2 linked regions of the Styela clava genome follow. The protein of the gene in region 1 interacts with the protein of each later gene in a biochemical or structural test. Links are inferred from orthologs where the notes say so. Each region holds a gene or a part of one and is shown on either strand. Other genes may lie near its edges. The genes, in order: NEDD8-conjugating enzyme Ubc12-like and NEDD8-activating enzyme E1 regulatory subunit-like.

The links.
Region 2: of the proteins of NEDD8-conjugating enzyme Ubc12-like (region 1) and NEDD8-activating enzyme E1 regulatory subunit-like, one has a biochemical effect on the other in vitro, tested with the Homo sapiens proteins (4 studies listed by BioGRID, with this or other methods). The link is inferred for Styela clava from reciprocal best matches to the Homo sapiens genes UBE2M and NAE1.

Annotation. Positions count from the first base shown.
Region 1 is NC_135261.1:7,727,601-7,744,744, reverse strand, and holds NEDD8-conjugating enzyme Ubc12-like, read left to right. Parts: upstream 1-9,931; 5' UTR 9,932-10,296; coding exon 10,297-10,845; 3' UTR 10,846-12,417; downstream 12,418-17,144. Other genes in the region: fanconi-associated nuclease 1-like, read left to right, coding at 12,418-12,568, 13,009-13,796, 14,663-14,836, 15,336-15,553, 16,470-16,591.
Region 2 is NC_135263.1:19,895,090-19,912,650, reverse strand, and holds the start of NEDD8-activating enzyme E1 regulatory subunit-like, read right to left. Parts: upstream 8,767-17,561; 5' UTR 8,650-8,766; coding exon 8,511-8,649; intron 2,099-8,510; coding exon 1,995-2,098; intron 1-1,994. Other genes in the region: rab proteins geranylgeranyltransferase component A 2-like, read left to right, coding at 11,021-11,072, 11,967-12,107, 12,287-12,407, 13,605-13,836, 14,088-14,267, 15,144-15,313, 15,682-15,767, 15,840-16,062. UniProt on the Homo sapiens protein: Regulatory subunit of the dimeric UBA3-NAE1 E1 enzyme. E1 activates NEDD8 by first adenylating its C-terminal glycine residue with ATP, thereafter linking this residue to the side chain of the catalytic cysteine, yielding a NEDD8-UBA3 thioester and free AMP.

The sequences.
Region 1 (17,144 bases):
TTTTTACTCACGAACTGTCATGTTAGATGCATTTAAACTAAACCAAGGACACGGTTTTGTGAATTTTAATAACTGGGTTAATGAAGGAGTTCTGCATTTTCCAGGGAAATATTCATTTATGATTTAAAATGACTTTATGTCGAATTGAACGTTTTCTCGTATTTTGTATTCTGAGATTATATATAATACCAATGAAAACGAATATAGCCTTCTGCCATCGCGGGCATAAAAATGTGTGGAATTGCGAGCCACCGTTCAAGGTTGATGCAACCTTAAAATTTAAGGGGGCACCAGCGATGCCACCTGGGAACTACCTACGAAGAGACGATAAACGCTTTCAATTTCTAATTAGAAGTCTTTCGCCAATCTACTGCAAGTATCGTCCTAGCTTAAATTGATTAAAACTAACGAACATCAACATTATTAATCGTTTGTCGTGTGAGTAACTTCCGCGAATGTTAGTCCGCTCCCAACGCTGAGCGTCACCGTTTTGATCCCGATTTAATTAAAGACGAGATCCTGAATGTCTTGCGCGGAAAACCCCGCTGATTCAATTGTCTGTTCTTAATCATTTGCCAAGAATTCAAAACCAACAAGAGATATTCCCAAGGTGACTCACCACAATGCATGCTATGCATAACAAATGAACTTGCGGAACGAAATAGCATAATGACGTATGTCGAGACTTACCTTTTTGTCGATTAAAGATACGGCAATGATGAAAATGACAACACACGGGACGGAAATTCGAATGGAGTTCGCTTTGTGACATGAAATAGATATTCGTTAATCGGACGTGAACGTTTCAGATCACATTTGAATATAAGTGAAAAGCGCTACTCAACTTCTTTCAACCGGGCTTCAATTTTGGGGGCATCGCGTTAGTACATGAATATAAGTGAAAGACACAACGACATAATCTTTAATTGGGCCTCAAGCTTGGCAACATTATGGTGAATCATGAGTATATGTAAAAAATTATTCTAACGGGATTTAAGCTTGTGGGCATTGTGATCATACATGGCTGGTGACGACATAGGCACGGAAGAAGTGGGAATACAAACAATCTATGCGGACACCATTAGTCCGGGAATAGAATATCTTACCAAGTATTCAAAAGTAGGAAAAATGTCACGTAAGGTAAAGCGTTTTGCTACTTGGAATTAATTCGACCAAAAGCAGCCCCGCGAAACGTGTTACATACTTGAAAGGTTAAATTACTACCACGAATTATGCCGGGACCAAGACAATTGATTCATACGAATTCGGTAGGGAGCGTAACATTTTTCGCTTGTCCGATGACTTGGCTAGCAATTTCCGTACTATGCCGGCCAAATGTACCTTTCAGCTCCTAATTTACTACCCAGGGACTAATATTTTATATAAATAAACACCAACAAGCGTGCGAGGAATCGCATTTATTGTGTCTGCGACGAGTGCGAATTGATTTATCCATCATTCAAGCGCAGAGCAATTAAGTAAATCGCGTAATAATATGCGCTTTTAGTGTAAAAGTACACTCCATTACCAGACCAATCGACCAGCCATGTTTCGGTGAACTTGTTTTAAGGACTGTTTCGAGCATTCAATGGGACAAATCGATTAATCGGCGCCATTGATGAAAGACTAAAATGTTTTTCCTCCGATGTTCTGCTCGATGCAGAGTTGAATGCGTGATTAATTCTGGTCGGATCGTATTATCGATTTAGTTTGCGCAATTAGTGTTTTAAAGGTTTTAAAAATTTCACGGTTACATCTGACAGAAAGTCAATGTTCATAGGTGGTCTGAATATAAAATTGTTCGAGTTTGCCATTTCTTCAGTCACGCAGAATGTTAAGCCTTAGGACGCTGGGCCCGTATATTGAACAAGGAAACATTATAATGACTCTGAAATCTTGCGTCGTCAAATAACACATAATCTTCAATCGAACTGATGGATACTTCTAGTATGTCCTCTAATAGGAAAGTATGATTTCCCACAACCAATTAAGAAAACGTAATTCGGTAATATAAATCAGTGTATGAAAACGATGCCATTCAGTCGTATGGTACACGCGATACCTCCAATCATAACATGTCAGACGCAAAATAAATAATCAGCGGCGGTCTACCGCGATGGGCTGAATAGAATATCGAAGGACCGTGTCCGATTTGGAGTGTATCGTTATATTAATAAACGAGGCGATGAGTGTTGAATTACTCCTGTATTGGACGTTCGAAATGTTTGACGACATGCGCACGTGCCGTTCGAGAGGTTTTCAAACCTACTTGTTTCATTAGACTATTATGTACCTATTACGTCAGAATGCTTTGAATGGTTAACTCCTACAGATAACTTTCAAAATGGAAGAAATAATATTAGTTTAAAAAGAAGATGTTTTCTAAAATAATATTAGCAAAAATAGCTCACGTCACGACGTAACTTTACGCGGGCTCACTTTCTAGACGTGAGTTCGAAATTTGAAGAAGTAGGCCCGTATTGCCCCCCCCCCCCCTCCACACACACACACACACACTAAAAAAACGAATGGACTCAAAAATAGGATGACAACGATGGGCGCTTTAAATTTATATGCTAACGATCTCCTTATAGTCGAAATAAACTCTCCGACAGGATAATTATACATTCTCGACGCATGCAAAGCAGCTTTACATTATTGTTTAATAAAAGTTTCAATTTCCTTATTAGCGGAAGGAAGATGTCAATGTGGCAAAACCTGTCAGAAGTTTTTTTTTGCAATAATAGGTTACATGACTGTTGTGTCAGGAGTTTTTGTTTGACTGCGCATTGGATTTGCTGTTTCTGCTTTTAGCGCGTGACTGCAAAAACATGCAAAGTGAAAATTGCAGGTTCTATGTAACAATGGTGCTAACTTGAGCCCACGATAACGCTTAAGTTCAAGCGCTCAAAGAATATCAAAGTCGACGCTGCATCTGGGTGTAGGTCAACAGAGAGTGTTAGCTCAATGTTGCAGACTGTTCTGAAAGTTGTTTACTAAGTCAATTATAAATCGCAAAAGCTGCTACTTGTTACAGATTATAAGTAAAAGTGCAATAATGCAAGGCATATTTGTTTGGCATGGTGTTATAGGGAGAGAATGACCCTATCTGCGCGTTCACTTGCGTGTTATTTAACACACGTTTAATAGAGTGTAACTCCATTCTGAAATCCTCAAAAGTAAATGAGCACACAATGTATTGAATGCCAAATGTTCCTATATTGAAATACACCAGGGGTCTCTAACTCAAAATATGTCGCGCGCCACTTGTAGGAATTTACTGACGACGCGGGCTGCAAACTAACAAATTATATACAAAATTGTTATACCAAAATTAACAAAGTAAATCTGAATATATAATATTTGTTGAAATTACCCTTGAATCTCACACCAAACGAGACATGAAACATATTCGTTTACTTGTTTTGGATATTTGGCACCGTTTAGTAGCGTCGAGAGACTCGATGTTTGGCCTTATTTTGCGTTGGTTTGCTGGTCTTTGTACAGAGGTCTACAGTGTTAACTTCAACTCATAATCGCGTGATGGTGACTTCAGTCATACCCTCCATGCCAATGAAGTTTCAGAGCTGTAATTTGTTGTGTTCTTTTTTTCATGCCATGATAATTTCCGATAGAAATCTTTTCATCGCGACAAATTCTGATACAGATATTGGTGGTTTGTACAACTATACCATAAACAAAAAACTTCGTTTAAAAAGAGTTTTTTTGATAGATCGAAACAAAACAGGTATTTTCTCAACAAACTGTTGTGAAAATAAGATACCTCAGTAAATGGACTTCTTTCGAAAGCGCATGGTTGCACGAAGCGTCAATCAACATGTATACGTTCAAGTCACATAAATGTGCTATGGCACCATGAAATTTTTTTCAAATTGCGCAAAATATGAAATTTTAGTTATAGGCAACATACGTACGCACAAGTATATTAGATAATAGATTGAATTTAATTTTAAAATAATTAAAAAACTCAAGGCTGCAGTAAAACGTCATGGCACCAGAAAACCGACGTATTAATACCTGTTTCTAGGTGCGAGAGCTGAAGGTCAGCCCAATTACTGATAAAAAAAAATATTATTCATGAATAAAATTATCTTTCCATCTTTTGAAATGAACGGATTTACGATTAAGATCCCAAGTATTTTTTTTATATTGAAACAAGACTTCACAATTTAAAAAAAACTTCAAAATGAAGAATAGTTTAGAATTGAATGTCGAGGCCCATGGGCTTCAGCCTACCTCGCTTAATGGTAAGTCCGATAAATCATGCATGTTATAATAGTCAATACATTATTTGTGCAGTACCACGTCCAAATAACAAACACAAATAACAAACACAAATGTCATTAGTTTTTAAAATATTTCCGAAGTATTCAGAATCAATCAGTTTGAAAATCGCAGCTGGAAATAATCCTTAAATTAAATATATTTATATTTCTGCCCGGTAACAATCGAATCTTTGAATATTCGATTAGTACGATGAAATTAATATAAATAAAAGTAATAGCCTTTTAGCGATAAAAACAATTTTAGTCATTGAAAATTTGAAAGTAAATGATTCAGTAGCTAATTAGAAAAGCGATTTGTAATAATAAATAAAAAACGAAATACTAACAGCAAGGACAAGACCAACAACAATATAATCATACTAATTACTCATAAACAAAAATAAAAAACGATCCATATGTACATTTCGTGTCCAGATATGCGAAAAATAAGTTTTGACATATTATTTTCATAATTTATTTTGCAGAAAAGGCACCTTATCTTTATATTTTTCATATAGTAAAGTGAATCAGGTTCGTATCCTTGTAGTGGGGAAATGTTCTTGAATTCAAATATTTTTAAAAGAAGGGTGTTGATCTCGCTCGTAGAAAATACAAAGATTTTTGCTTTAAGGTGGATCTCCAAACAAACCATTCAATTCAAGAATATTTTTCGAAAAAATCTTTTTTTTAAACAAGTCAACCATTTTTTTCAACTTTGATTCTTTTAAATGTTGAAGAACCTTATGACAAATTTCTGTACTCGAACTCGAACCACCAACAAAATTCGATCTAACTTGGGCCTCTCGACCAGTTCCCATTTCATGTTGGGTATTTGTTTCAGCTGCATGATTTGAATCATACAGAAGCCGTAACTAACCGTGTGCACCCACTTTCGACGGTTAGAAGTCCAGCAATGAGCAATCCCCCTCAACCTAATTAGCCTCAACGGTGATGGAACAAGATACGAGTTTCACTTTTATCATTAGGAAAGAGTGGTCGATAAGATGACTTAATCATATGACGAACCAAGATTTCTCGTATGTCACCGGTCACAGCCCATATCGGGGATGGAAATATTTACTGAACATTAGTTCCAGGTTTAAAATCTATGGACTGGATTGTGTGGTAAGCTGTACCCGGCAAGTGGTTACGTAGCACCATACAACGGCGAAGAGTCCAGGGATTCTCTTGAACATAATTATTCTCATAGTGTTGGGCATAGGATAGGATTTACATATCTATCCCGAGGGAGAGGAAAGTGTTTATATATAGTGCTCAATCATATGACGTACAACGGCCTCTCGTCCGGTTACCAGTCCATGTCGGGTAATTAGCTATTTATTTTTTCCAGATGTCTGTTAGTATTTTATGTTTGACTTTTTCTCAGTATTATTTGATGTTAGACTCACTCGATACGCTGATCGCGTAATAATTTATTGTTGTAATGAAATACAGTTTGTTTGTCTCTTTCATTTCTCTCGCAAGTGCCGACAATAACATTATTGAATGATTTTGGCAATAGGATAATCATATTTAATTGTAACAAAAATGAATTAGGTTGTGAAAAAGTGAGAATACGTGCGATAATAATAATGGCGTAAGGTGGAACGGCGAGCAAAACCGAAGCGCGTGATCGGCGGTGCGTTTGGAGACCACGTATTACCCGTGCGGCCGCGCAACTTTTAAAATAATGTGAGGTGCTCCGAAGACGCTCTCGTTTACCTTAATGTAAGAAAACAGTTGTAATATCGGTAGCTAGAAACCATTTGTTCGAGTTAGACTATGACACTTTTTATGAGTAGAAAATGTTCGTATTTTGTGATAGGTGTGCCGCAACCAATGACATTTAACAACATGATGCGCAACTCCGGCATTTTTGTCCGAAGATCGTATTCGATAGCACGCTCCAATGCACATACTTGACGAGACGAAAACGAGCGGATGTGTGCTGCTTTCAAGGCGTAGCACAAATGGTGTTCGTGCCTGCTTTGACAGTTGTTGTCGATTTTAATGATATTTTGGAAAATTGAAGGTAAAAAGAAATCGGAAAAAGGTAAGGTAAATACTATTGTTGTATATCACACCCGGACATAGCACTGTTAAGTACATGTGGGAAAGCCAGCTTTTGTCAAATACTACGAAGTTATCAAATCAATACGGTACGTAGTTGCCCATTTGCCGAAATTGCGTATTTACTTACCCTTTATGGTTTCAAATAGTTCATGCACCTCCATTTAGATTTTTCTAATCAGTGTAGAAATATATACTCATTGCTGTAGCATACTATTGCTCATTCACTTTTATTTGCGTATTGAATCAAAGGGTTAACAAGTTCACCTAACATTTTAATCATACCGGTCTATATTGTATAGTATGATCTCTCAAGTATTTGGAGCCACGAATGCTTGTAATTTTCTGACTAAACCCTTTTATTAGTTGATTTATATACCAAATTCAATAAAACATTTTTTACATTAAACATGAGATATTGGATTTATTAGCTTTTCCATTCTAAGTCATATTGACTGCTTTATTTATTCTTAACGAAAATTAATAAATCTCCTCTCTTTCTTCAGATGTGAAAGTTGTGGACAAACCTGTCTAAGCATTGTGAGACTCCTGTAGCACAAGAGGCAATAGCAAAAATAGTAAGTATATCAATCAAAAAATTAAGCCGACATAAAGCAAAACTTTCAACTATTCGTCTAATCTCAATTTCCTATTATTTATTCACAGGACAACTGTAGCAGAAGGGGAGATATCAGAAGTCTGGCGACATATCAGTGACAGTGTGATTCCAAGAAATATAATTAGAATACTCCATAAATGTTTGCAATAGAAGAACAACCTATGAAGGCATGCAAAAGCATTTGACCCTCCGGTAGAGTTGTGTATGGCCCCTACATCCTGCAAGGCTTGAGGAAAATAACTAAAAATTCCAATGCGTAAGATTGCATAAGCGGTCTTCTTTGTGAAAAAGCACAAAACATGCCAGGCATACTTAAAACAGCTTTGAAAAATGAGGATTACGGGTCACTACACCTATGCTATATTTGGTTCATCAATTTTTGGTAGTACTATAGAAAAAATTCAGGAAAGGGTATAATCATGATTCATGATAAAATACTGGTATATATTTTGGACAACTTCAATCTAGACCAAACTCGCGGCCCCAGAGAACTTCCAGTGCGGCCTCGAAAGCTTAACAATAATTGTAAAAGTATTTTGGAAGTTTTTTTTATCTAAATGTAACAGCTTTTTCAAACTTTTTTAAGTGAAATTGAATATTCACACAGAAAACAATTTACTAAAAGTAGTTTTAAAAAATTAATTTTTTTTGTTCACATTTTGACCCATTTAAGAATACACATCAAGCTAGCAAAATAATACTTGAATAAAACACTTGAGTTATTAAATTGAACGCAAAGTACATGAAGAAGGTGGCATTTTCGAAGAAAATGGGAGTTGCAATATTTCTGCATTTCACAAAATTCTCTGAAGCACATTGTTTAATTTGTCATATTTCCACCAGTACAATGAAAAACACAATAAGCTCAGCAGTCAATATGGCAAATTCGAAGACCAACTTCGAACAGAAAATTTCCATGTGTTTGTATATTAATATAATTATACAACTTTTTTGTTACTAAATATCAATAATAATTCAAGCAATCCTATGCCATGCAATGTGGCGCGAAATGTCTTGTCGAAAAAATCTGTCATTTGTTTTTTTACTGATCTATACATGAAATGATAAAAGTAACTTTTTTGCATTACTGGAATTAATTAAACATTTGCAAAGATCCAGATTAACCCATGATCATGTGACCTCGTTAGTTAGAGTTGGTACTATAAAATTATTTCATCCTGGCTTTAGTATGCTGGTGACACAAAAAAGATGCCAAACGTCAGGACAAATGTAATTAAAAAACATTGAGTTTATATTGTAGTATTTTTGTTAATTTTAGGTCCATATATTTAGATTAAGTCATTTTTTTAGTGTATGTATTATTCTTTCCTTATCCAAAGCTTGTTCAAAAATGATTTTGATGGTTGTACATAGAATTTTATGATTTTTTGTAATAAATACAGTAACTTGCAATAATAGTGGAATGCAAATATTAACATGAAATTGCATTTGAAATTAAAGAAAATAATAAAACTTAATCCAACTGTTTAGTTGCATCCTAATATATGTCACAAACTAAAACTATCTTGAAAATATCTTTCAAGTATACATTATCAAAAACTGTTTGCGGCACTTTTTACAATTTCCAACATGCAATGCGGCTCTCGAAAACCCATGAGTTTGACACCACTGATCTATTCTAGACAATTCAAGCATTTCTTTGGGAAATATTATAACTTCAAATAAATTGAAAATAATCTTGCCGTATTAAATACGAAATCGTTGCTATCATAAAGATAAACCAATTCAGCCACTGGAAATATATTGGCCTTCACAAAGCAATGGAGGCAAAATTAAGAGTTCATGAGCTATGAACTTTTGTTCTTTTCTTTGTCTTAAACTTTTCATACTCCACAGCCCCTATTAATTTTTTTTTTAATTTCAATTACCATGTGATGGTAATACATATCTTTAACTTGTATTTTCTGTAATGATGTATTATCTCAATGTGTCAAACTTTTAATTAGTGTGCATATTTTGCTTCCAGATGACATAAATGTATTGTCCTGTTTATTACCTCAGCTTGGAGTATTGACAAGAAAAAGGTGCCAGTAAATTCTTTGTTATAATCAGAATTCACAATTAATAGGAATTATAAACAGCCACCAATCAATGAGAATTACATGCGAAATCCCTCACAATAAATTTGTCTAATAATGTCTAATAAATTCACCTACTAAAGCAAGTTCGATAGGTGCAAACTTTGTGTTATGGAATTGTATCACAGCACCGTTGGGAGAAGTAAAAACAGTTTTGCTGTTTTGTATGACACCCTCTTTAAATGAAATTTCAATGTTTACGCGTAAACATTAAAATTACTAACTTTGAACTTTGTCATTATCTGCAAAATGTCCCACACAAATCTTTACTCTATCGCGTTTGTAATCTTCTCTGATAAAAAAAAAAGTCTATGATGTCCAGAATTACTCTTTACAGCTTGTATGTCATTCCAGCTTTCAAAGTGAGCAAAACTTCTTAGATATAGAGATTATTTTCTTTCGTTACAGGCGCAAAAAGGCAGGTACTAAACGTAAAGAGGACGCCGATTAGCAAAAGCAAGCGGAAAACGGTCGCGAAAGGCGACGAGAAATATGTGCATTGGAGCGTATCATGAAATACAATCTTTCGCATGTAGTCTTATGGAGTGACGTCAGAGTTGCCTATCATGTTGTTTAATGTCATTGGCCGCAACTATTTAAATAGCACTGCCCTAGATGCTCTAATATTTCTGCGTCGATATTACATGAGATAAATACGTGATTTTATTGTCATGCAAGTCGTTTGAATTTTTTACTTAATTCCGAAAAATCACGGGATTATACGGCTCAATCCCGGGATATCCCGATACCGTGATTTCAAGAACTGGCTCCGAAATCCCAACCCTAGTGGTGCATAGAGTCTTGTTTAGTGTAACTAAAGTTTAAGTTGTTTGTTGTTGTTAAAATATCTATATTTTATATTACTGAATACCGTACTAAATTCGTAATAAATTTTTGGTAGTGTTTTTTCTAGTTACCCGAAGTTGTCATAACGTCATATGCCATTCTCAATCATTTCGATATATATACACACCACTATCTGAAAGGAGAAGTTACTTCTTTGTTTATTCCCTACGATCGCTTTGTCGAGATTGACCATTTTAGCCTGGGTGTTGTCTTTGGTCAAGATTTGTCTCAGACAGTTTTGGGGCCATAATTTGAAGCCGGAAGAAAATCAGTGAGATATGAACCAATAACATTTGTGGGAAGAGAATTGAGAGCGTGTATGGGTGTAGACTGTGCAGTTGAAAATTTTTGATCAGAACAGAAAAACACGAAGAAAATGATAAAATTATTTTCACTAAAACAGCAAAAGAAAAATGACGAAGCATCGGGGGCTTCATCTGGTAGAAGAAAAGCTTCAGCGGCTCAACTTCGAATTACTAAGGATTTAAATGAACTGCAGTTACCACCTACATGTAGTACTATTTTCCCTGATCCCAATGATTTACTGAATTTCAAGCTTATCATTGCCCCTGATGAGGGGTTTTACAAAAATGGTAAATTCACTTTTACATTTAAAGTTGGGCAAGGTTACCCTCATGATGCCCCAAAAGTAAAATGTGAAACCATGGTTTACCATCCTAACATTGACCTTGAAGGAAATGTTTGTTTGAATATTCTCAGAGAAGATTGGAAACCTGTTCTTACCATTAACTCTGTCATTTATGGGCTTCAATATCTTTTTCTTGAGCCCAACCCTGATGACCCTTTAAACAAAGAAGCAGCGGAGATGCTAACAAAAAACAGACGTGCATTTGAACAGAATGTATACAAATCAATGAGGGGTGGTTACGTTGGGAGCACATATTTTGAGCGATGTTTAAAATGATTTTTTTGCAATGTTGATATGTATTTGATATCATTTTGATGCCTTTATAATGATAGTTTATTTATATAGGCTATTTGGTAAGTTTTACCATTGACACAGAATAAATGGACTAAGGTTGCTTTTGACGACTCGAATAAAATACTGGCTATTTTGTAAGACATCTTTTATTTCACCATACGTTTTATATTTATTTTGCATAATTCTGGTTACTCTAAGTGGGCTTTTGTGTAGAAAATTCAGACAATGTTTTATTATAGAATTGATTGAAATTTTATCTTTCCAATGAAAACAAATTCATATCTACATTTGGTCAACTTTTAAAAATAACTTTCTGTCTATCGAATGACATAATTTCCAACGATTTTCGAAATTCAACTTATCTATATGCTCTGAAATAATCTGTTGAAATTTTTGAAACACCTTATAAATCTATTCTTAACATTTAACATAACACAATGACGAAAAATGCATTTAATTTCTTATTTCATCCATATCATTTAAATATCTATCAATATGCATTGTGGTATTTGATTTACAGTCACAATCTTAAAAATTTAATTTTGTTGCTTGAGCTTTCTAATAATGTTTTGTATGAAAATGCTACCTGTGCAGCTTTATACCATCGGAATTTTAATCCAGAATTTAAGATGTGATTAATACTGATTGAAAATATACTAAAATTTAACCAATGAGTAACTGTTAAGTTGTCCTCAAACATATCTAATTTTTCAAATCAATTTTAATATGGTGATTTTTTTTTGTTCATTAAAATTTGTGAAGATGATTGGTTGATAAAAAATAACCCAACAACTGTATCACTGATATTAGTATGTCTATATCTGAAACACATTTCTATTTTGATTATTTCAAAAAATTCATTCATGTGGCAAAAACATGCTATAAAGCCAGTTTTTCGATCAAAATATCCTACACAGATATTAAAATCAAAATATTTTGACAAGGGATTTGTTATCCTTTATAGCAATATTAAAATAATGTTCTTTAAAAATTCCTCTTTTCAATATGATGAGACAAGTGTCCAAAATATTGGTATTGGCCATGGTTTTATTTTCTGTTATTTATGTTAAGACGCATAATCAGAATCAGTATGATTGTTTTGAACCATGCTAGAATACTTCCCAAGTTCATTATTTTTGGTCAGTCAATGATTTTGTTCAAAATCATTTTAATCTTTGATAAATATCTTATCTGCTGCTGATAATCATTGCAGATGAGGGTCCATGTTTTTGTCACTGATAAATATTTGAGGTTGAAAAATGTAGCAGGTGTCTAACTTTGTGCTATGTGCTCAAATGTGGTTATGTAGGCTACCTCAAAGCTGATGAGCAGAATATTCCCTAACTTAATAAAATAATAAAACTCTGGCATTTTTGTGTTGTATTGACTATCTGCTTTTTTAATGAGGTGAAATACCTGTTTGTGACAAAATTACATTCTTATATGGAAGCGTGATATAATAGCATAGGAACCTTTCCCCCATTACGCAATAAATTCCAATTGCTTCTCAAAATTTTGTTTATATTCTGATGAATTGCTCTCTATACCACACCTATGAGCATATTATATGTGACTGCATGTCTCTTTGTATTTTATTTCAATTCACATTGCTTATTGAAAATAAATAAAATACTAGACCAATCCAATCAAGAACAAAATGGAAAATACTTCAAGAGAGCTTTTTTTTGGATAAAGCCGGAGAAAAGTAAAGCACTAATTTGTTACGACTGTATTCTTTTTAATATCAATTTTGCAAAATTACTAATCACTTTTTTTGCCCAATCTGATCGAAACATTTAGCTTATATCAAGCTACAGTTTTAAGCCATCGTTTTAAGTTTTGTCTTATGTTTCTATAATCAATTCATGATTTTTAGGAATACGGTAGTTCAAAATAGTTTTACATTAAAATTATCATTTTGGGCATTTGGCAGCTTGTATTCGAATAAGCTTTAATAGAATCTGAAATTAAACAAACTCATAATTTAGTTAGTCATAATTTTTCTGCACCATAAAGTTCTATCAAATCAAAGAGAGACTATATACATTATGCAATATTTCAAAATATTTTTGAAATTGCGATTTTTCAGTTTTAGCCATCATTTTAACACATCGATTTTATTATTGTGAATTTATTTGTTTCTAGGTGCAATGTCTGGAAAGAAGAAAAAGACTGTCACTACAAATCCAAAGTCATCAATTTTGAATTACTTCTCATCACAATGTAAAGACAGTGCCAATGAAGACACTTCATCTAAAAGAATCGCAAATATAAATGGGAATAATAATAAACGAAAGCTCAAATCTAGAAACACCTTTAGTAACACAAACAAGAAGCCAAAAATTTTGAACACTGAACTAATAATTATTTCATCTGATGACAGTGCTGATGAAAACATTGATGTCAGACTGAATGAAAAAAGTAAAAAATCAGTTGCCACAATTTCTAAAAGAAAAGGCAGAAATAATGATGATAAATCTTTATCCCCTCAAAAGATTGTTCCAGAAATAGTCAATCATGAATTCATTCAAAAAAATAAAATTGCAAATTCTATATCTGACGTTTCGCCACACCACGATGATGAAAAAATTTCTGACTTAAATTTATGTATTTTAAAGACCGACACAAAGCCAATAATAGATGATTCAAAAATCACCGGAATTCTGCCAAATGCGAACACATCTGAGGCTGATGCATTATCTGCTGAAGACTCATCTTCCCTAAATGAAGATAAGGAAGAGAAAATAGCGTACTATCTTTTAAATTTCCGACAAATTTTGGACACTGTCTTAGGAAATGAAGATGATCGCTCCATATTTGAAGGATCTGATGACATTTCGTGGATTGATAAATTTAATAAACTACCTCTTCAAGCTCAGAAACTTTATGTCAGATTATATCATCGTAAAGTAGCTTGGCTTAGATTAGAGCAGGTACGTATGCTAAAATATAAATATGAAGAAATATAATTCTCTATTTTAATAGTAGATAGATAGTTCACTCCTATTGAGACTGTGAATCTAATCATCAAATTTAATGTAATTCAATCCAATGTATGTTCATGCTTTTACTGTGCGTTTGGGGCTCCCGAAGTATGCGAACCAAGATGGCGGACATCTGAATGTAATATGTGTACTAGGTTAGGGTTAGGCCATAATTTTAGCTATAAATACTACGGGAGGCTCTTGGCTAGTCTTCGAACTGATAATAGGACTAAAATAAGGAAAATTGGAAAAAAATTATCGCCTAACCCTAACTTGTTACCCATGTTACGTTCCGATGTCCGCCATCTTGGTTCGCATACTTCGGGAGCACCGTGCGTTTTATATAATATTGTTTGAATACAAAAAAAACTATCGGGTCTGCTGTAGCTTTAGTTCGTTTTGCATTATGTAAAAAAAAATGAGAGAATTAGATTTGAATGTATTTGGGTACTTGCTTACCGAATGAAGATGGAAACCTTCATATGATGACCAAATTTTCACTAGAGATAATTTAGAAAAGTATAAAGTTAATAACTTTCCCGGAGAGGCTTTCATTCATGGCTACTAAAATATTAAAGCTTCTAATTTCAGTTGTTTGGAAAAGCTACACTGGCAACAATACTATCAACAACACAAGTTTAGCAAAATGATCGATCGAAAGGGCCATCTTTGTTAGCACTTTTTTGTTAGTAGTATGGGCTGTAATCCCACAATATTACCAATATATAATCTAATGATTGACTAATTATTCTAGAAGCATTTCCCCTGTATTATTCTAAATTGAATGAAATACATTTACTGTTCATTCTATACAGATTAACTATCCTGATATATCAAGCAATATTCATCGAGTATTGAAGAAATTGGCAGACGAAGGATTTTTATTGTGGTTTGATCAAAATAATAACAATGATTTGAGTTTGTCTGATGTTCTCAAGCTTCTACCTGCACCTAGTCTCAAAGATCTTGCCAAGTCTTTCAAACTAAATGTAAGTATTTTATACTTTGTTTTCGAAAGGTTTTGGAGGTATAAATGGTTAGCAAACTAAAGTAAAATTACTTGAATTTTCATCATTATTGTGTCATGGGACTTTTCGACACTCAATGTTCTTGAGAAGCTTGTTCGTACAAAGATGAGTTTTCGACAACACATGGTAATACACTCATATCATTCTCATAAGAGTATATTTAGGTGTGCAGTTTTGTTTCCTGTGGAGACGTTTGTCACTGTTTATTAAAGGGCCACAACTTTTGAGGGCCCCTGGGCACTAAAAAAAATTGGGTATATTGTTTCGGAGTTATGTTCAAAATTGTGAAACAGTGGTCAAAAGGTATCTATTTTCACTGCCAAGAAATGTTTGTAACGTTACATGAACTATTCCAAATTGATGATGCAAATAAAAATTGGGAAAATTTCATTCAAAGAAAATTCTCAATAATTTATCCTCTTATTTCAATTTGTGTAAATATTAGTGTTTCAAATTCCAGGCCAATGGCAAACAGAAAGTTCAGATCCAAAATGAACTTGAAGACATGTGTAGAAAACAACAAAGTGTGCTTGGTGGATTTTTTAAAAATAAAAAAGCTCAGGCGAAAGGGACTCACCAGAAAAAGTCAGGCTTGGGTAGCAACGTCATGAAAAGAGCTAGCAGATTGCTCGGACCTTGTTATAAAGTTGCTTCATATCCAAGAACAGTGTTTAACAGGTAAACTCCAGTTTACTATACATTGTATTATGTACAAAAAATGCTCGACTCCTTTGAGTCCGTGCCACACAGCGTGATTCATATGATCGTTGGTTAGTTATGGCCTCATCCGCTTTCTGAGATCAGGCCATTTTTGCCGTTTGCTGCAGATAACTACCGATATGCTAAATCCCTTTATCTTGTTTATTTCAACACTGAAATGAATTGAATTCTGGGCAAATACAAAATTTATCTGTTTATTTATCCATTTTCCACAATGAATTCGACTATAGGCAGAAGAAAAAAGTATGTTAGAAAGAATATTATTAAAAGAAAAAGATGAATCAATCATATGGGATCCATGCATGACATGGCCTCTTGTCCAGTCATCAGGACCAAAGGGCCAAAATCTTTTCGGTTCAGCCTCACCAACCCGATTTATTACACCCTGGATGGGGTAGTGGGCAAGGGATTTAGGATTTAAACCTAGTATTTTTAGCTTGCGATGCCAACATAGCAAGTCCAAGAATTTAATCATTAGGCAATTGGGTACTCCCGAAGTATGTGTACCAGGTTAGGGTTAGGCTATATAAGTTTATTTCGTTTTTCCTCATTTTAGTTCTTTTAGTTCGGGGACTGTCTGTGTTAGCCAAGTGAATATCCCTCTGCCCCATAGGCTTCAGTCCCTTTACACAACTTATAATAGGCGAATAAAATTAGTTACTTCCAAATTGGTACACATACTTCTGGAGCGCCGGCCATTGTGCCTTTAATTTCAGATAATTCCTAAACATTGATGAATATAGGTCGATGTAATCACCGAGAATCTTTGTTTGTTTTGCTTTCTATTTGTTAAAATAAAATTCTAGTCAAATTTTTAATATTTGTTCATTAGCTTAGCATTTCATAATTGTTGTTTACTTACCGTACTTTCAAGGGTACTTCTGGTATTTGACGTAACACGTGGAATTGATGATGAAACTGAATGCTCATTAACTGGTTCTCAAAACGCTATGGGGCAGGGAAGACACTTGCAATTGTCTGCTATTTTGATGGCAGGTAAGATTTACATATATGTGTTGATTTGCTTGTTAATTGTAGATGTTGTGGAAATATTTATTTTCTCCACTGGTAGTTGACCAACCAATTACAAATTTTCAATACTTGAGAAGTTGAGATAGATGGTTTTTAAGCATTTATAAAGACTATCATTTTAAAAGACTTGTTTTTTCCAGAATTACTTTCATGGGACCTATAATCATATGGGTCCTGTTATTTCACCCCAAATTTTACTCTTTTATATTAAACCAATGGTAATACTTTAATAATATAACATGTGAGAACACTTTTTCTGATTTTTCACTTTCCTGTCCATTTGTCATATTATGTCAACATTTTCTTACTATTGGACATACTGTTGTGAATATTTTATATTGTTATTATTCTTCTGCTACCGGTAAATACGTACAATGACTAAAATATAATTGAAATTGTTTACAGACATTTAAACCATAGACGTTACAAAACTAATGTTTAAAGGTCACATCATCATAAAACGTATTTATGATAAAAACCATTTCAACCAATATGACATTTATAAATATTTTTAATA
Region 2 (17,561 bases), on another chromosome or scaffold:
ATTTCATATTTGCAGATTATTGCAGTATATATTTTATATACCATGAGTCATGTTAACAGAATTAAATTAATATGACAATAGTGGTATCGATGATGGATTTGAATATTTGCGCAACACAAAATCATCCTAGTAAAACGCCCATACTTTTAAATACCAACCATTATCCAAATTATTTGTCGAAGAGCGAGCGTGAGTACAAAAATACTAATCAAAAATTAATTATATTTGGGAACTTTACCACACATTTCAAGCCCGCAGATCGCCGTTGTATGTTTGAGTAATAATACTTTTATTATTTCATAAATATGAAAATAGGAATCAAAAACTATTTATAATCTGGTAGTTTATCACCCATTGTAAGTCCACAGATCGCCATTGTATTTTGTAAATACGAAAATCGGAATCAAAAATTAATATTAATTGCGAGTTTGCCACACAATATATGTCCACAGATTGCCGTGATACTGTGCCGAATATAATTAGTTTTGATTCTTATTTTCGTACTCACGAAAAATTGTCACGAGTCGGAAAAAGAATTTATATTTTATCCCGCTCTTGGAAACTAATTTGGATAATGGTTGCCAACTTGCCATTGGTTTGTATTTAAAAGTATGGACTTTTTACTAGGATGATTTTGTGCTGCGCAAAATATTCGAATCCATGACCGATACCACTACTTAAAATGCCTTACCGTGTTAATTTAATTCTATTATCATAACTCAAATGTTGGTAAATCGGGCAGTTTACCACACATTTGAAGGCCACAGATCGCCATTGCATGTTAGAATTATTAGTTTTATTATTTTGTAAACACGAATACGAAATTAATTATAATTGGGCAGTTTACCACGTATTTCATGTCCACAAATACCCTTTGTATTTGGCATTAATTCGCTAATAATTTTATATGTTTGGAACCAGATCATGTTAGTTTGGTAGAATCATACTCACAGAATTAACTAACAATTTTAACAATTGAGCGGTAAATTTAAGTTGTAAAGCGGCAATCATTTTGGACAACCTATTAACCCGAATGTTGAAATAATTTTGGAATGTGATAAGTACTACACTGTATGTCCACTGGTTATTTCACAGCTGTTTTCCTGTCCCTGTCGTGATTTGCTGAATCGGCAAAACGAAAGGGTCACAAATCACTTTATCTTGGTGGACCTTTTTTTAAAGTAACGATAACCAGCCTACGATTAAATACCATGATTGGCAGACCCTAAGACCCAAATATAAGGTTACACAAATCATGCTTGAGAAGACTCATGCGGATAATAAGCAGGCCACATAGAAATTAAATAAACATACTTTCTCAATTTTTCGACGTAATGGAAATGAATTCGTAAATTAAAAGCCTCGTACACGAATGTCGGCAATGTCCACCCATGCAAACGTGCAAATGTGTCGCAACACTATGCGACGTACGGTCGCACAGAATATAAACAATCAAAGTGCCGATTCTATTTCATCGTCATTACGTGAGACAGCGTAAAAAGTCGTTTAAATATTCCCGTAAAATGAAACACCACGTTTACGACGAAAAGTGGCTACTATTCGGAATTATTCGAAAATCAGCCGAAAAGGTATTCGAATACTTTGATATTCGAATACTTTGACATTCGAATACTCGATTCGTTTTGGACAACCCTGGCTGATATTAATTTTGCTTGAATGAAATGAAGAAAATATTCAACTTTTTAAATTATCATCACTTAAGTCGAGTGTTTGTCAATACATAAATGGGATTGAGAAGAATAAAAAAAGGGTAGGAGGCCTTATCCTACAGATAAGCAGCATATAATGTACAAGTGGCACAGGTAGTAGTCTTGGCAATGTTGGTACATTATCAAATCCACCCCTAATAATATTCGTTAGAAATGAATCTAATCAGAATATTCTTATTGTAATTGAATAATTAAGCAGTCATTTCTCACTTGATATGAAAATTTATGAAATATCAATTTCTTTCAACATAATATAATAATTACCTTAGCCCTTGAATCTCCAATTCTGTCAGAGTGCAAGAAAAAATTATTTCCAGCATCTTCTCCGGTTACACACTTACTATCGATGATTGTGAATGATCCAATACCTAATTTAGATACAAATTCAATTAGTTGAATATCCAAGTAAATCCAAATCTATAGTATAATTGATTTCAGGTATATGGATTGGAAGAAGATTTTTCATCTACAAAGTAAACTGAGGATCTGACTGAAAGATAGATATAAAAGGTATTACCATATTTCTCCTAGCATAATACGCACCTAGATTTTATTACAGCAATTACAAGATTTTTTCAAACTCCATGCATAATAGACATATCAAGTTACCGTTCCTCTCTTGCGTTGCAGGTGGTTTTTGGGGAAGCGTTTCAGGCATTAAGTCTGTTACCTATATCTCGGAATTAATATGCTCTATGTATTTGCTGTGAAACGGTCTGACAATCATGACGTGATGTTATTTGACATTAAAGTATTGTGTAAAGTTATTTGTCGCTCATCCTTTTAAAAACTGACAAGGCCTCACGTCAGAATGTGTTTTCAGACACCGCACTTCAAAGAGAAACCCTGGTCACTAATTTGAGTGACATATGGTGATTTATGACAGTGAAGTTTTGCTGATTCAGCGAAACGAGAAAAACAAGATACAATGACACCAGTTAGCGTATGCACAGCGTGTTCTTATCACTTTTAGTTCACTTTTTATTCTTACGCTTGAGTTAATGGACTGTTCAGCATTTTTCTTTACTAACGCTAAATTTTCATGGAACTGGTTACGCTTCTACCAAATGAAGCATGATCTGATTCTAACAGAACTTAAGATTAATGTATGTGACAATTATGACTATGAGCTAGTTAAGCATAAAATAAGAATTAATATTTTTCTGATATTTTCTATACCAATGGATAATACGCACCGCATCCCCTTACCCTGAAGACTAAATTTGACCACGAAAGTGCGTATTATACGCGGAGAAATACGGTAATTCCTGATTAGGTAGCTATCACAGGTATCAAAAGCAGGTATTGGTATTAGATGAATAAAAAGTATCCGTAGTAGATAACTAGTTTAACTAGGAGTAGATGACTGAAAGGTTAGATATCACAGGTATCAGTATACAGGTATAGAATGGTATCAATAGCAGTTGACTAAAACAGTGATATCAGCAGGGATGGCCATTTCCGAATACTAAACTATTCCGAATACATTCTAAAATAATGTTTTCGAATCTGGAATTCCGAATACATTCTAAAATCGAAAATAACACATTTTTGTTTTAGTTGATTAAAACCCAGTAAATTAGGAAATAAGCTTCAATAGAAATATCAGAATGAAGCCACAAACCAACAGTATATGTACACAAAGTAATTGATAGTTTATAGCTATCAATAAAAAATAATAGCAACTTGTGACACAGTCAGTTTATTAACATTATTCACTTTGTACAAATGACCATATGAAATAATAGCCAAGGAGTTGTCTGACGCTTTCTATCATTGGTACCATGATATTACGATAATAGTCAAGTCTATTGACAAAAATACTACTTGTATTCAGATAATTGTGTATATTTTCTGAGAGTAATAAAATTTATTGGCAATACAGGCAACAACAATCGAAAATCCATTATGCCTCTAAAAATTCTAATATTTGAGGTATTCTACTACCTACCAGTATATTGTTATTATGTGTAACATAATGTTGTGTTTGGAATTAGAAATAAATTAGTAGAGAATAGCTGACCACCACTGCCAGCGCGCAGCCAGGATTTTCGAAATCGGAAATTCCCATTGCCGCCTGTAACACCCACCGCCGTCTTTTCAGCGTATAATGATCATTCTGTTACGTAAAATATTCCATCCATGACAACTACGAGATTCTAAAATATCTTTATATATTAATTTAATATGTCCAACGTAACTCACGGTTACTTCTTCTTACGCCAAAAAAAAACATTACTATTTGGTCCACGGCGATCTGTGACCTAAAATTACGAGATAAACTGCCTGATGTATTTAATTTTAATACGTATTTTTGCAATCTTGCCAACTCGTTATCGCCGTTAGAAAAATCTCAAATAATTATATAAAATCCTAAGTGTAGAGTATAATTCATTTCATACAATGAATATACATATAAAGTTTAGCAGTAAATTAAAAAAAAATATTCATCGCCGCGATTATGCCACCTCGACTTTTAACAACAAATAATATAACATCGAATATATATTTTTCTGTTGTGCAAAGTGATGAATTCGTGTCCGACACGGGCATATTTAAAATGTCTTGCTTTATTAATTTAATTGTCTTCAATTTAACCTGCGGTTGCGTCAACAAAATAAAATCCTCACCACTCTTATATACCATTGCAATCCGCGGTCATAAAAATAAAAACGTGAGGTAAACTGTCCGATTAAATATTGTTTTGATCCGTATTTTGCGAATTCGTCAAATATTTAGATGTACTTGTTAACAGTGACTCCGCTCGATCGAAATGCTGCCACTCTGATTATTTTTAGATAAAACTGTTCGAGAAATCCATAAATATGCTGTAATATCTCAGAGTAAAATTTATTTCATCACAATAAAATTGATTGAATAAACTTTAGATTAATTATATTATATACATCCTCACAACCCGGGAAAAAGTCGCGTTTCAAACCTTGTATCGTGTTAACATGAAAATATTCGACGGCAATTTAAAGTAATGGATAATCAGGCAAATCCCGCCCTCAATTAGTGACGATATGTTTCTAAACGCCGACCAAACATGTGTGCCAGAGGCACACGAAATTTTGCGATTTTCACTGCCTAGAAAAGAGTTTTTTAAATTTTCGCGGGCCTCAATAAAACTTATATTGTTTACGGTTTTATTTTCAGTATTCTAAATTGCCGCTTTTCAATCAAAAAGTTGCGTTGTCTTTAGAAACTCGCCGCCGATGAACGTATTTACCAGATTCACAATTCCGTGCGCGTACAAAAATAGAATAAATGTTATCGTTATCGTGGAACAAATTTGTGGAAAATTTTCGTTTTAGAGTAAATAACACAATCGTAAAGGCGTTTACGGGCCTAAATAACACGTTACGCTGATGAGTGATGAAAACAATCACGCGCAAGTTTCTATCGAGAATGTTTTCATTCAACGGAAACGTCTTGAAAGCGGCGTCGAAAATGTGTGACGTCACACAAATATCCGATATTCTTATGAACGTGAATTCCGATATTCGAATGACGAGATATTCGAATACATTCGAATACTTTATTCGAATTGGCCATCCCTGGATATCAGTAATACAAGAATGAAAAGGTAGCTATCACAGGTATCAGTAGTTGATGACTAAAGAGTATGTATTAGATGCGGACATCAGTATTTTTTCTTGGGTAAAAAACTAACTGAAAAACGCACGCAACCGAAATCCATTTTACAAGTCGGAAAATTCGTGATTGCTCATCTTTATATCTGACATAACGTGAAGGGTGGTGGAATGAAACAGCCACCAATAAACAGTGCTAATAGGTTCTATTCATTCTGTCAGCTACACGCTAATAATCTAGGTTTTCACACTAGGCTTGCACGTAATTTACAAATTTACGGAATTACGGAATTATTTCGATTTACGCAAGCGAAGTCACGAATTACGTAAAGTCGTAATTATTGGTCGAGCGCTTTCGCGATTGAAACGAGCTCTCTTCAGAGCAGGCAATTCCGTCGATTGTAAAAAATTAAAAGTTTAAGTAAAAGAAGTTAGAGTTCCGGTATTCGCAGCCGTTTTTCTCTCTCTTGTTAGGCAGATGGGGAGGGCATAATGCGTCATTTACAAACCTATTATCAACTTATCTAAGATGGCCAATGTACATATTAACCGTAAATAAGGAATAGAATTGTGTCGAGACCGATGGACGCCAACACACCTGGTTTCAACTTCTTCGGGTGAAATGAGTGAAGAATGTAAGAGATCAACTTATAAAACATGGTCTATTTGTAAATGTCGTGATAATTAATGTCGCGCTTATCAAACAGCAAGAGACGGAAGAGAAATTGCGTAATGAACCAACGCAACTTAGTCCTTTCGGCATCGGTAAAGCGATTGAGACGGCAGAGAAACAACATTACGACGGGATTTCCCGTGTTTATTCTGCGCGAAATCCATTTTCTATTACAAAATCTTGATGTTCTGTTACCGGTTTTATCGTTATATATCTGTCCGGACTTGGCATTGCTCAATATGTTTTTCACAATGCCTCGCAAATCGCAATATGTCGGCCAAATATGATTACCTGTCTTTACCAAATGCGGCAACTTATTTTGATTTATCGTCGACCTGAATACCACCGGCACTCGACCAAACTTGTGTCAATCTTGGCAAATAGGATTGTCGACTTGAGTTAGAAAAATAAATTAATATTTTCATGAGTGCAAAATAAATGTCACAAAATGCATTGTTTTGCGATATAACTTTGTATTTTCGGAGAAGGCATGTCATATAAGTACGGTATTTTAAATAATGCGCAAATAATTAATATTTGATCTAAATTTATCGTAAATAATGTTATAACATTTAGGCCGCGAAATGATTTAATGTAAAATGAAGCATGGAATTCGGAATATCGTCAATAAGTCGGCATCAATAATTATTATAAAATGCTAACTAAGTAGTAAAGTCGGATATTGTAAAAAACGGTGAAATAACAAGTCTTCGTCGCGAGGCAAGCGAAAGTATAATCAAACGAGAGAATACGCTTGTAGTTGATTAATAAATTAGCAACCCGGAATTTTTATTCAATACGAAAGTCGTATTAATACGTCAATACGATTTTAAAAAAGTGAACTATCGTTTCTTAAACATATTACCAGTGTTGGTAATGATAAAATTGATCGCATAAAATTTGGTGATAAAGTTGATAAAGGAAAATCAAAGCTAATACAAAAGATAAAAATCAGAATAAAATTATTTTGAATTCACTCCTTGATATTTGTCTTTAACATCTGTCTCCGGCGTGTGGTACTGCCGGGAATATGAAAACCAAACTTCGATGTCCCATTCGGAATAGAAGTGGATTAAATTGGTTGGTATGCTAGGTTTAAATGTGTGAAAAAAATATCGCAATTACGGGGTCATTACGTAATCGATTTGGCCGTAATTACGGAATTGATTTTTGTCAATTACGTGCAAGCCTATTTCACACATTTCGGTAAGTTTGCACGCAGGCTCAGGCGTTTGGCGTGCCCCAGTCACTAATTGCACACCCCATTCCTCATGAAAAAGGCCATGAAACCCAGACTGACAATAGTTGTCGATTTGAAAAAAAATTAAAAGATAGTTTTTGGTTTTGTTGCATTTAAACATTAAGGAACCAACTAAATTCGAGTCTCATGTAGTTTCGTACCTAACATACTTCCAGTGGGCGTAGCATGACAATTTTTTCACATATCAATCCTAACCCCCACCTGACTACACCATCCAAAAATTACGTCATTACGACGTCACAGTGACGTAATAGAGCCCTTCAAACTACACGAACTGCCATCCAAGACGCGCAAACGAGCACCCGAAATCGAACAGTTATTTCTCTCGTTTTCTCGTCGCATCGATTTCAATAGTAGAGAGATCGATAACGTCAGTCAGTTCCTTATCGTCGGCGCCAATGCCATTTCGGTCGATCGTGCGTATATTTGGCAAGCTCTATAACGTGATTGTGATGTCGTAGTGTTTTAATTTTTGGATGGCGTAGTCAGATGGGGGTTAGGATTGACATATCAAAAAATTGTTATGCTACGCCCACTAGAAGTACGTTAGGTACGAAACTACACGAGACATCTAAATTCTACAACACTGTAAAATGGGTCTTACTACTTACTGAATACGGTACAGCGCGAAACACCGCAAAGAGCGCAAAACAGCGCGAAACAGCGCAAAAGCGCGCGAAACAGCGCAAAAGCGCGCGAAACAGCGCAAAATAGCACGAAACAGCGCAAAAGAGAGGAAAACAGCGCGAAACAGAAGGAAACCAGCGCAAAACAGAGGGAAACAGCGCAAAACAGGAGACGCAGTCATTACCACCTTCTGCCACGAAAGAACCACGGCGCCTCTCGCCATGGTTTTATGGCGCTATTTCCGGCATATTTACAAGGTTATGTACCGGATTATAGGTCATCATGCGAAATTTTATCTACTTTTTTGGTGCTCCACAAGTATGTGCAGCAATATGTCGCACAGCCTGAATATATACGTTGGTTTGTGTTTTTAATTTGCTGCCGTGGTACTCCAACTCAAAACAAGGTGCCCCGAACTCATTGCAAAATTTTTTTCTGCTTCACACTGTTTCCCTCTGTTTTGCGCTCTTTCGCGCTGTTTCCACACTGTTTTGCGCTGTTTCCCTCTGTTTTGCGCTGTTTTGCGCTCTTTGTGGTGTTTCGCGCTGTATTCAGTACCAGTAGTAAGACCGCTGTAAAATTCCGTAAATTCGTAATTTAAGTTCAAGGTTGAATAGTCAAACCTGGTAAAACCATGTTTTTCAGTATTTCAGTTCCAGTGGCTGTAACATTGATGAGGCAGACCTTAGCGTTTTCTAATGATCTCTGACCATGGTCACCCCACAATCGTAACTGACGATCATACTTCTGCTGCTTATCCATCGCTAGTGCATTTGGATCCAGACTTCAGAAAACCAGTTCGAATATTTTTACACACAACATGCATCTGTAAACAAGATGACAACATATGGGGAATTCCCTTGTATAAAGTTCAAAGGTTATAAATAGATAGATACCGGTAGTTTATTTTTAAAACTTCACAATCTGACAATACAAACAATTCAAAAACTATAATACGTACGATATGTTCCCGTTTAATATATGTTGAGTCAGCTGAACTATACAACTAATAATTACTTCGTAGTTACTACGGTATTGATGTTTCCCCGATTTTCCTGTTAACTTCCGTAACAATTTCCAATCCAACTAGACTAGAATTAGCTACCAGAACCTATAAGAGGCACGTCGTTGATTGTTTCAATGAAGAAAAAATGATGATTTTAGACATGTGAACAAGTTTGTAAGCGCCAACTCTCCAAAGCACTATCATAATAACGATAAGGATCCAAGTTGTGTTCTCTCATATGTACATGTTCATGTTCATATGTACTATATAGCTTTGGAAATATGGTATTTTAAATTTTTCACCCATTCATAATAACTGCCTCATTCTCACTATTTGATTTTTGTCGAACATAAAGTAAAATTAAATTTGAGGAAATTATAATTAGGCTTACGCCCTTCTTAATTTTTCACTTCTTTTCGCATTTTATTTACTATTAAAAAAAGTATAACCTGCATAATCATGCGATGTTCTTTTTTCTTGTAATTTTCAATCTTTGATTGATACCACCCTATTTGCAAATTAAAACAGCATTTCAGCGGATCATAATATGATGCAATATCATGCAAATCTCAGTGTATGCTATCAGATTTATAAAATGGATAGGAATTCACAATCTTATATATGGATTCTTCATATGTCTTTGTGAAAATTATTGAAGATACTATTATATATAGTCTGAAGTAATAATTATATGTACTATATAGCTTGGGAAGTATGGTATTTTTAATTTTTCACCTATTCATAGAAATTGCCTCATTCTCACGATTTGATTCGTGTCCAACATAAAGTATAAATAATTGTAATTAGCCCGACGCCCTTCTTATTCTTTCTCGCATTTTCAATTACTATTAAAAACATAATCTGCGTAAGCATGTGATGTTCTTGTTCCTTGTAATTTTTATTCCTATTCCAATACTTTCGGGGAATTGATTTCTGGGGCCTCTCAACCGGGCTTAAAACTCAAAAATTTATATTTCTTCTATTGTAATTATAATGCCTGCTTTAGAGTGTCCTGTCTTGGTAGAATCTTACCTTAGGGGTCGGTCGACCTTGTTGACCTTGGAAGTCTTGCCCGTCCCCTTCCGTATACATTTTTATGCTTATTGTTATTTGCTCATGCTTATTGTATTATGTACTTGTATCGGAAATAAATCATTATCTATCTATCTCTAAGTCTCCCCAAGTATCTCTCTCTCCTTCTCTAAGTCTCTCTCTCTCCCCAAGTTTGGGTGGTAACTGACTTTGACGACCGCCAAAGGTCGTATCGTTGCTTCCCAGTCATATACCGAAAACATCTGTTTATTTGAATAAACTCTCTCTCTCTCTCTCTAGTCTAGAATACTGTATGTTACAAATCAACTCCTAGGCATAGGAGACAGATACGTATACATATATTGTATACGCTGCGTAAAATATTCAAGCTTCAACTATCCACCCAGTTTTCTGCTGAAGTGCTCATTCTGCTGCCTGTGTATGTCAATGGCAAAAATACTGATTATCTGGGTACAACCGTAAATATATACTACTACCGTAGTAGTATATATTTACGGTACAACATCTCCGAAAAAAGTTACGTCATCCTTTACTTTTTGCTGATTGGCCATTGTTACAGAAAAAATAAACAAGAAAATCGATGCTCGGGGAAACATACATATTAAATATTTCTCTCTCCCTAGCCAAATATTCAATTTGGGCATACAGGCATAGCGCATAGCGGGATTGCTGCATTTTGTTTAAGTTGTTGTAGCAGTACGGTGTTGGTATTCAGGTGTTAGTACCGGTATTTATTGACGGTTCAGGTACGAAACGACTGCAATACGGCAGTCGCAATTTCAGTGACGCCAGCCCACTTTCAGACTTTTGATGTAGGCTAGCTGCCTGTACATTTGATTGTCTGATTGTGGGGATTGGTTTTGTTATTGAAGAATATGTTATGTTATTACTGTGTTAGTCCCTCACCTAAATTCCAGAATTCATTACGTTTTTTTTTCTAAATCAAACTCCATAAATATATGGATGGTTAACCCTCCGTCTCCCATGTAGAATTGCTGAATTGTGGGGTTCAAGTTATCCTAATATAGGTAACTTTATGCCATTTTGTTTACCAACCTTTCTTTTGGGTAAAACATGATGAATGAAGAGCTTGCCAATGATTTCGACATTATTGTTGTTGGGACAGGTGAGTACAAGAAATTTAATGAAAATACACATTGAGATCTATCAGTCGTCAACGTTAGATGTGATTTGCATGAAGTTTTCAATTGACTCCCGATGTCGGGATGTTGAAACAGTTTAGATTTTCAAAACCACAACGTTTCATTCTCAATTCTCCCTGGTCAACAAAATATTTTTATCGTAGTGCAGTAGTGCTTCTAAATAAAATATTCACTTATTCTGTATTCAATTAGGACAAGGTCAAATCCTTTCTGCATTTCTGCCACACACTTTTAGGCTAGTATCGTCCAATGCAATGCAAATGGTCTTCAGCATTGTTAACATTGCAATCTTGTCTATACAGCTATATATACCTTTGCAGGACGAGTAGGCAGACACACACTTTAGTGTCATTGGGCCTTATTCCAACGAAGTTGCCTATAACTCCAAACGAATGCCATACACCAATTCATTTATATGTCCCCTTTTTGCTTTATATTATAATTTTTGGTAAGGTAAACCATAATCCCGTTATCATATATATAGGCGTATATATTGCCTATATATAGTTTGGAAGTGCAACTAACTGCGTGTTATAACAGATGAATTAATATCAAGTTTGTCTTATACTGAAATCCTTCAAAATATTCTATTTAACTTGAGAACGTTTCTCCAGTTTGTGATACCATTACTGCTTTAACATGACTGCATGATGAGTTGATCAACTGGAATGTAAATAGTTCAGCAACATTAAGTTCCTTTGTTGTATGTACAATTTTACTTTTTATCCCTCAATTATGTTAAGCAAGTTTTGCCAGCCCTATTACAGTAATATTGTTATCTGAATCGCCATTGCAGAAGGTTCAATTGTTCTTATCGGCCATCACGACATGGTAAATTTACGCTTTTATTACCTCAGGTCTTTCAGAATCGATATTATCAGGAGCACTGTCGCGTATTGGGAAGAAAGTTCTTCATCTGGATCAAAATAAATACTATGGAAGTAATTGGTCTTCATTTAATCTACGAGCATTTGAAGCTTGGATTGAAGAAAGAGATGGTGAGTATAATTTACTATTTGAAAGATAGCAAACTACTTTGTGTGATGAAATGGATGAGGCTGATATAAATTTTGTTCCACATTTAATTAAGTCTCATCCGGTCATCCGGTCGAAACTTGTAAAATATTGTGCATGTAAAATAGAAACTCTTTTTCAACTTTATCTTGTTATCAAACAGATGATGCCAGAGTCTCAGTGAATGAGATTTCACAGGAAATAAACAATGAAACTGAAGAATTAGTAATTGTAGGAAATATTCGTAAAACCACTCAACAAGGAGTAGTGAAATGTTATCTACCGTAAGTTTATTCACCATAAGTTAGTCACCATTTACTCATCATGCCATCATTTATTCTTGTTATCAAGCATCTTCAAGTCAATTTTCATTCATTTCCTGCTAGACAACTGAGTGAGAGTTGAAGGTTTTGATGTGACTCTATAAATGATCATAAAATCGATGATCCATGAATGCAAAATCATGATAATGATGGGATAGTCATTGAAGACATGGGAATATACTTTGAAACTGGGTATTTACTAATAGGGGTCATAAAATAGATGACACAAAATATTGGCTTAATAATATGCTTGGAGTGTTTTCTTCGATCAGTATCAGTTAAAACTGGAGCTCGACCGATATATCGGGCCGATATTGCGTGTTTGCCGATATATCATATCGGCCGTATACCGCCGATATATATCGGTCATACTCGGCAAGCGCCGGGCTGCGTGCTGCAACAGCTCTCGCCCCTGCGTATATTTCTCTCGCTTTCATTTTGCGTTATAAGGGTGTCTCTCCTAATTCCCGGTGTCTTATGATTAGCCATTTCATGCATGGTCATAACTGAAAAGTTATATCTGGAGTAACAATGACATTTTATAAAGTGACATTTTTGAGAGAGTACACAATGAGAAAAAGGCAAATTTAGTAACAGCATTAAACGGTGGTTCTATAATAGAATCGATTGGAAGCTGGTGAGTTAGTAATCATAGAAACATGAAACAGGTAGCTCAAAGCAATAATGTCAGTTCGGAATTTGTGACCTCCCAAAATTCCAATTTTGAATTTATGGGGTAACAGTTTTGTCTATATTGATGGTTGTTTATCATTTTGCTGAAAATTACAAAATAAAAACTTAATCCATTATTATTGACTAAATAAGGTATTGAGAGTCTCTGGAAACAAAGTTATTAAAAATTTCACATGTAACTGCACATATGCTATCACAATATCGAAGGATCATTATCACGATTCACTTTAAAATATATCAATTTATATTTTTTCAATACCCCTAACATATGTCCATACTATAGACTCACAAGGTGCATTATAAAAGCGTGGCTCAAAATATGATTAATATTAATATCGGCATTGCGATATCGGTTATCGGCCATTTGGCCGATATATCGGTATTAGCGTCAAAAAGTGATATCGGTCGAGCTCTAGTTAAAACTCGTTAAAAACTGTTATTAATAATGTTCAAATTATTTCACAGTGATGTCCCTAAACCAAGTAGTCAATTGGACCAAGATCTTCCACTAGCAGACGAACTAAAATCTGATGTAAATTCGAAAAGCAAAGATGTCTCTGGCGAAGGGAATGATCAAAGCTTTACTCAACATGCTCAAAGAAGTCCAGTGTCAGAGGATATTGAGACAATACAGCAAATTGATCAAAAACAAATGGAAGACTTAGAAACAATGGATAATGGTGCTGACAAACAGGAAGTAATGTTGGGATATTTCATACTAGACCAGAGATTATTATTTATGAGTGTTTCAGAAGGGGAGCCTACTAGCTTGGCATAGCTCCTCCTTGGTCGGACTATGATTTAATTCCAGATATCTGATTTGACAATATTCACTGTTATATCTTGCCAAATATTTAGGTTCTGATATTAATAAAAACAATGTATTTTAATTTTCAAGTTTATTTATTTTTTTTTTAATTTTTCCAAAATTTACTAAACTTTCTGCAGACTGAAACTAAAAATGAAGAACTAAAAAACAGTGAAGAAGCCGTAGAAAAAATTGGAGAGAGTAGTGGAATTTTAAAAAATTTAGCAAAACAGGATAATTCTAAATCTATTATTGATGATAACTCGAAAGAATATTTTTATTCAAAATGGAGACATTATAACTTGGATCTAGCTCCAAAGGTTAGTGGACTTTAGTACCAGAGTATTGATTTGAATTATTGACCTTCTCGAAAAAATTAAACCTTAATGCTTCCCATGACTACTTATTTTGGCGCTCCAGAAGTATGTGCACCAAGATGGCGGACACCGGAACGTCGTATGTGTACCTGGTTCGGGTCAGGCCATAATTTTATTTCAATCTTCCTTATTTTAGTTCTCTTACGTGATCGGTGACTAGCCAAGTGACTTTTGTTGTATTTGTACCTAAAATTATGGCCCAACCTTAACCTGCTACACATACGGCGTTCCGGTGTCAGCCATCTTGGTGCACATGCTTCTGGAGTACCCTTTTTTTAGGTAATTATCAATAACTATTTTTAAACAAGCTTCCAGGCAAACACCAGTATTTAATGAGGAAGCTGAAACTATTTGAATTATTCTATTTCGGCATAGTCTGGCTGCCTCCTATATTGGTGATGGAATGGGTGTAGGGTTCAGAGGAAGTATTCCAAACTGTGCCAAGAATTTTTTGTTTTTGAATGTGTGTTCTCATAATTATTTGGGCCTGACTCAACGTGACCTCAATACAATGAGATTTTGTTGTCTCTGAATTATTGCTGACTCAGTTCTTCCTTTTGTCATTGCTTAACATTTTTCGACTCAATGGAATGGGTTAGCAGCATTGATGACCATTGTCGGTCTAGCAAACTAACCCCGACAAAACAATATTATGAAACAAGCTGAAAATTTGTATTCAATATAGAAAGTGTTGTTCTGTGAGGATAAAATCTCTCTCTCTCCATAATTTCAACAAACTTTTTCTATTCTATAAGAAGAGGAAATTTTAGCAGGTGGTTACTGATCTGAATTTCATTATTATTCTATCCTCTAATACAGTTGATGTTTTCAAGAGGGAAATTGGTTGATTTACTTATTACATCTAATGTTAGTCGATATCTCGAATTTCGGAATGTTACAAGAACTTTAACTTTACTCAATAATGGTGAGAATACTCTTCCAAAATTAGCTCCAGTTCCATGCTCTCGGACAGATGTGTTTACAAGCAAGTAAGGAGTCTAACTATATTCTATCATTATGGTGCAATAATCTCCTGTTTGACAGGCCTTCCAAAATTTGGTATTGAGTGCACAAATTGGAATATAATCTGTTAAAATAAATTTATTAAACTTTGCAATTATAGCTATTGTCATATCGGATCATACTAGGAAAAGACCTTGCTTCGCTACGTACTTCAATTTTCCTATCTCAGTTTCATCATAAGAATGTTATTTGCTATGATCTTGGTATAGGCTGATTACAGCCATAGGCTGATGATGCTTTTGGATTATGACTTGTTTAATTTGTGTTTTAGGTATGAATAATTATGTACCGTACCTCAAAAACATTTGATATTGTTTTAATAATATTATTCTAGATTTGTTACCATGATTGAAAAACGAATGTTAATGAGAGTATTAACTATGTGTGCGAATTATGAAAGCCACCCTGAAGAATATGCAGGTATATACGGTACTTTGAAATATTTGAATTGGTTTATAAATAAACTTTTGATATTTAATCCTTGTTTTTCAGAATTTGAGGATAAAAAATTTATTGAATTTCTTGCTGCGAAAAAACTCAGCAAAAAACTACAACATTTCATATTGCATTCAATATCAATGGTTGATGAGAATACAAATACTGTAGAAGGACTTAAGGCAACTCAAAAATTCTTGAATTCTCTTGGTCGCTATGGAAATAGTGCATTCTTATGGCCACTATATGGTGTTGGGGAGCTACCACAGGCATTTTGCAGGTAACCACTCTAGAATAGTCAAGATTCATTCTCGCAAAAAAAATAAAAGGTATACCATAGTCCAGGCCTGCCCAACCTTTTTCGTCTCGTGGGCCACTTTCACATAACGAAATTCGTTGCGGGCCGCAAACGTTTGTAACAAACTTTAATACTAGCCAAGTCCCGATTTCGTTAGAATTTACATAATATATAAAAGGCAAATATATTACGGTAACATAAAATCAATCAAGTTAATAAATATTTTCTGGTTACTGATTAGTGCTGGCAAAATATTCGAATATCAGCAGTTTACTATTAGAATATCTGTTAACATGGGGCGTGGACATGACATTCGCGAGTCGCTCATTCAAAAAATCAATCATTACACAACGCACTTGTGGATTTCTGACGGCCACACGAGAATCTGCACACAGTTTTCACTAACAAACAAAGACGTCAAAATTGAGTCTTATATTTGAGTCATGGTGTTTTTATTTATTTATTTTCAGTGGCTATGATATTTGAGCGTAATGTGCGCCAATGTCGCGAAAACATCAAATTTTAGTGGGCCGTTTCGTAAAATTTGAAACTTCAATACAAGTATTTAATGAGGAAACATTACAAAGACTTCTGGACAAATATATATACTAATTTGATTGGTAAAATTGCCATTTAGGTCAATTTTATCAGAATTATTTACGGATACGCAGTGACGATATTTCCAAATTGTTATTTAACGCAAACATAACATACACAAAAATACAAACATAAAAGAACAACGTGTCCCGGAGCCAGGAGCAAAGATATTGTTGACTTTTTATTTTACGTCGGCGATAAACATGATCAAAGCCTACAATCAGAGTGAAACTAATTTGGGAATTTAGGTTCCAAATTCATTCCTATAATTGTGCTCAACATTCGTCGCCAATGATCGAACAATCAAGCTCGTCGAACAAAACGCACAGTTCTGCGAGAAATAAAAGAATCTTAACGTCGAAGTCCATCAGGGCGCAAGACTTGATACATACATAACAATAGGAATCGGCATCCGGATGTAGACAGATGGATGGAATAATCATACAAAAACCACGAAACAAACTTTCGCCTATATAACATAGTAAAAATTCAAAAAGTTTGCTCACAAAATTTATAGGGCGGGCCGCAAAAAACAGTCCGGCGGGCCGCGGGTTGGGCACCTATGCCATAGTCCATAGGCTGCAAATTGGACAGATTTCTTCAAATCCCATCACCTTAATTTTTTTGTAATATATTGAATTTATTGGTCCTTGGCCACCTTATATAGACACCTCCATTTTATAGGCATTGTTACAAGTTGTTTGATGATAGATATTCCCTGTTTGTAACTTGTACTAATTAATGTGAATATTCATAATTTGTCATAAATATTTTATGCTTATTAAAGGGTTTTCTTAAAATTATCAAAAATGTAATATTAAATGTTTTCAATATTCATTCTGATTTCTTCAGGCCCTCATATCAACATGTCTGTTTGTTTAAAC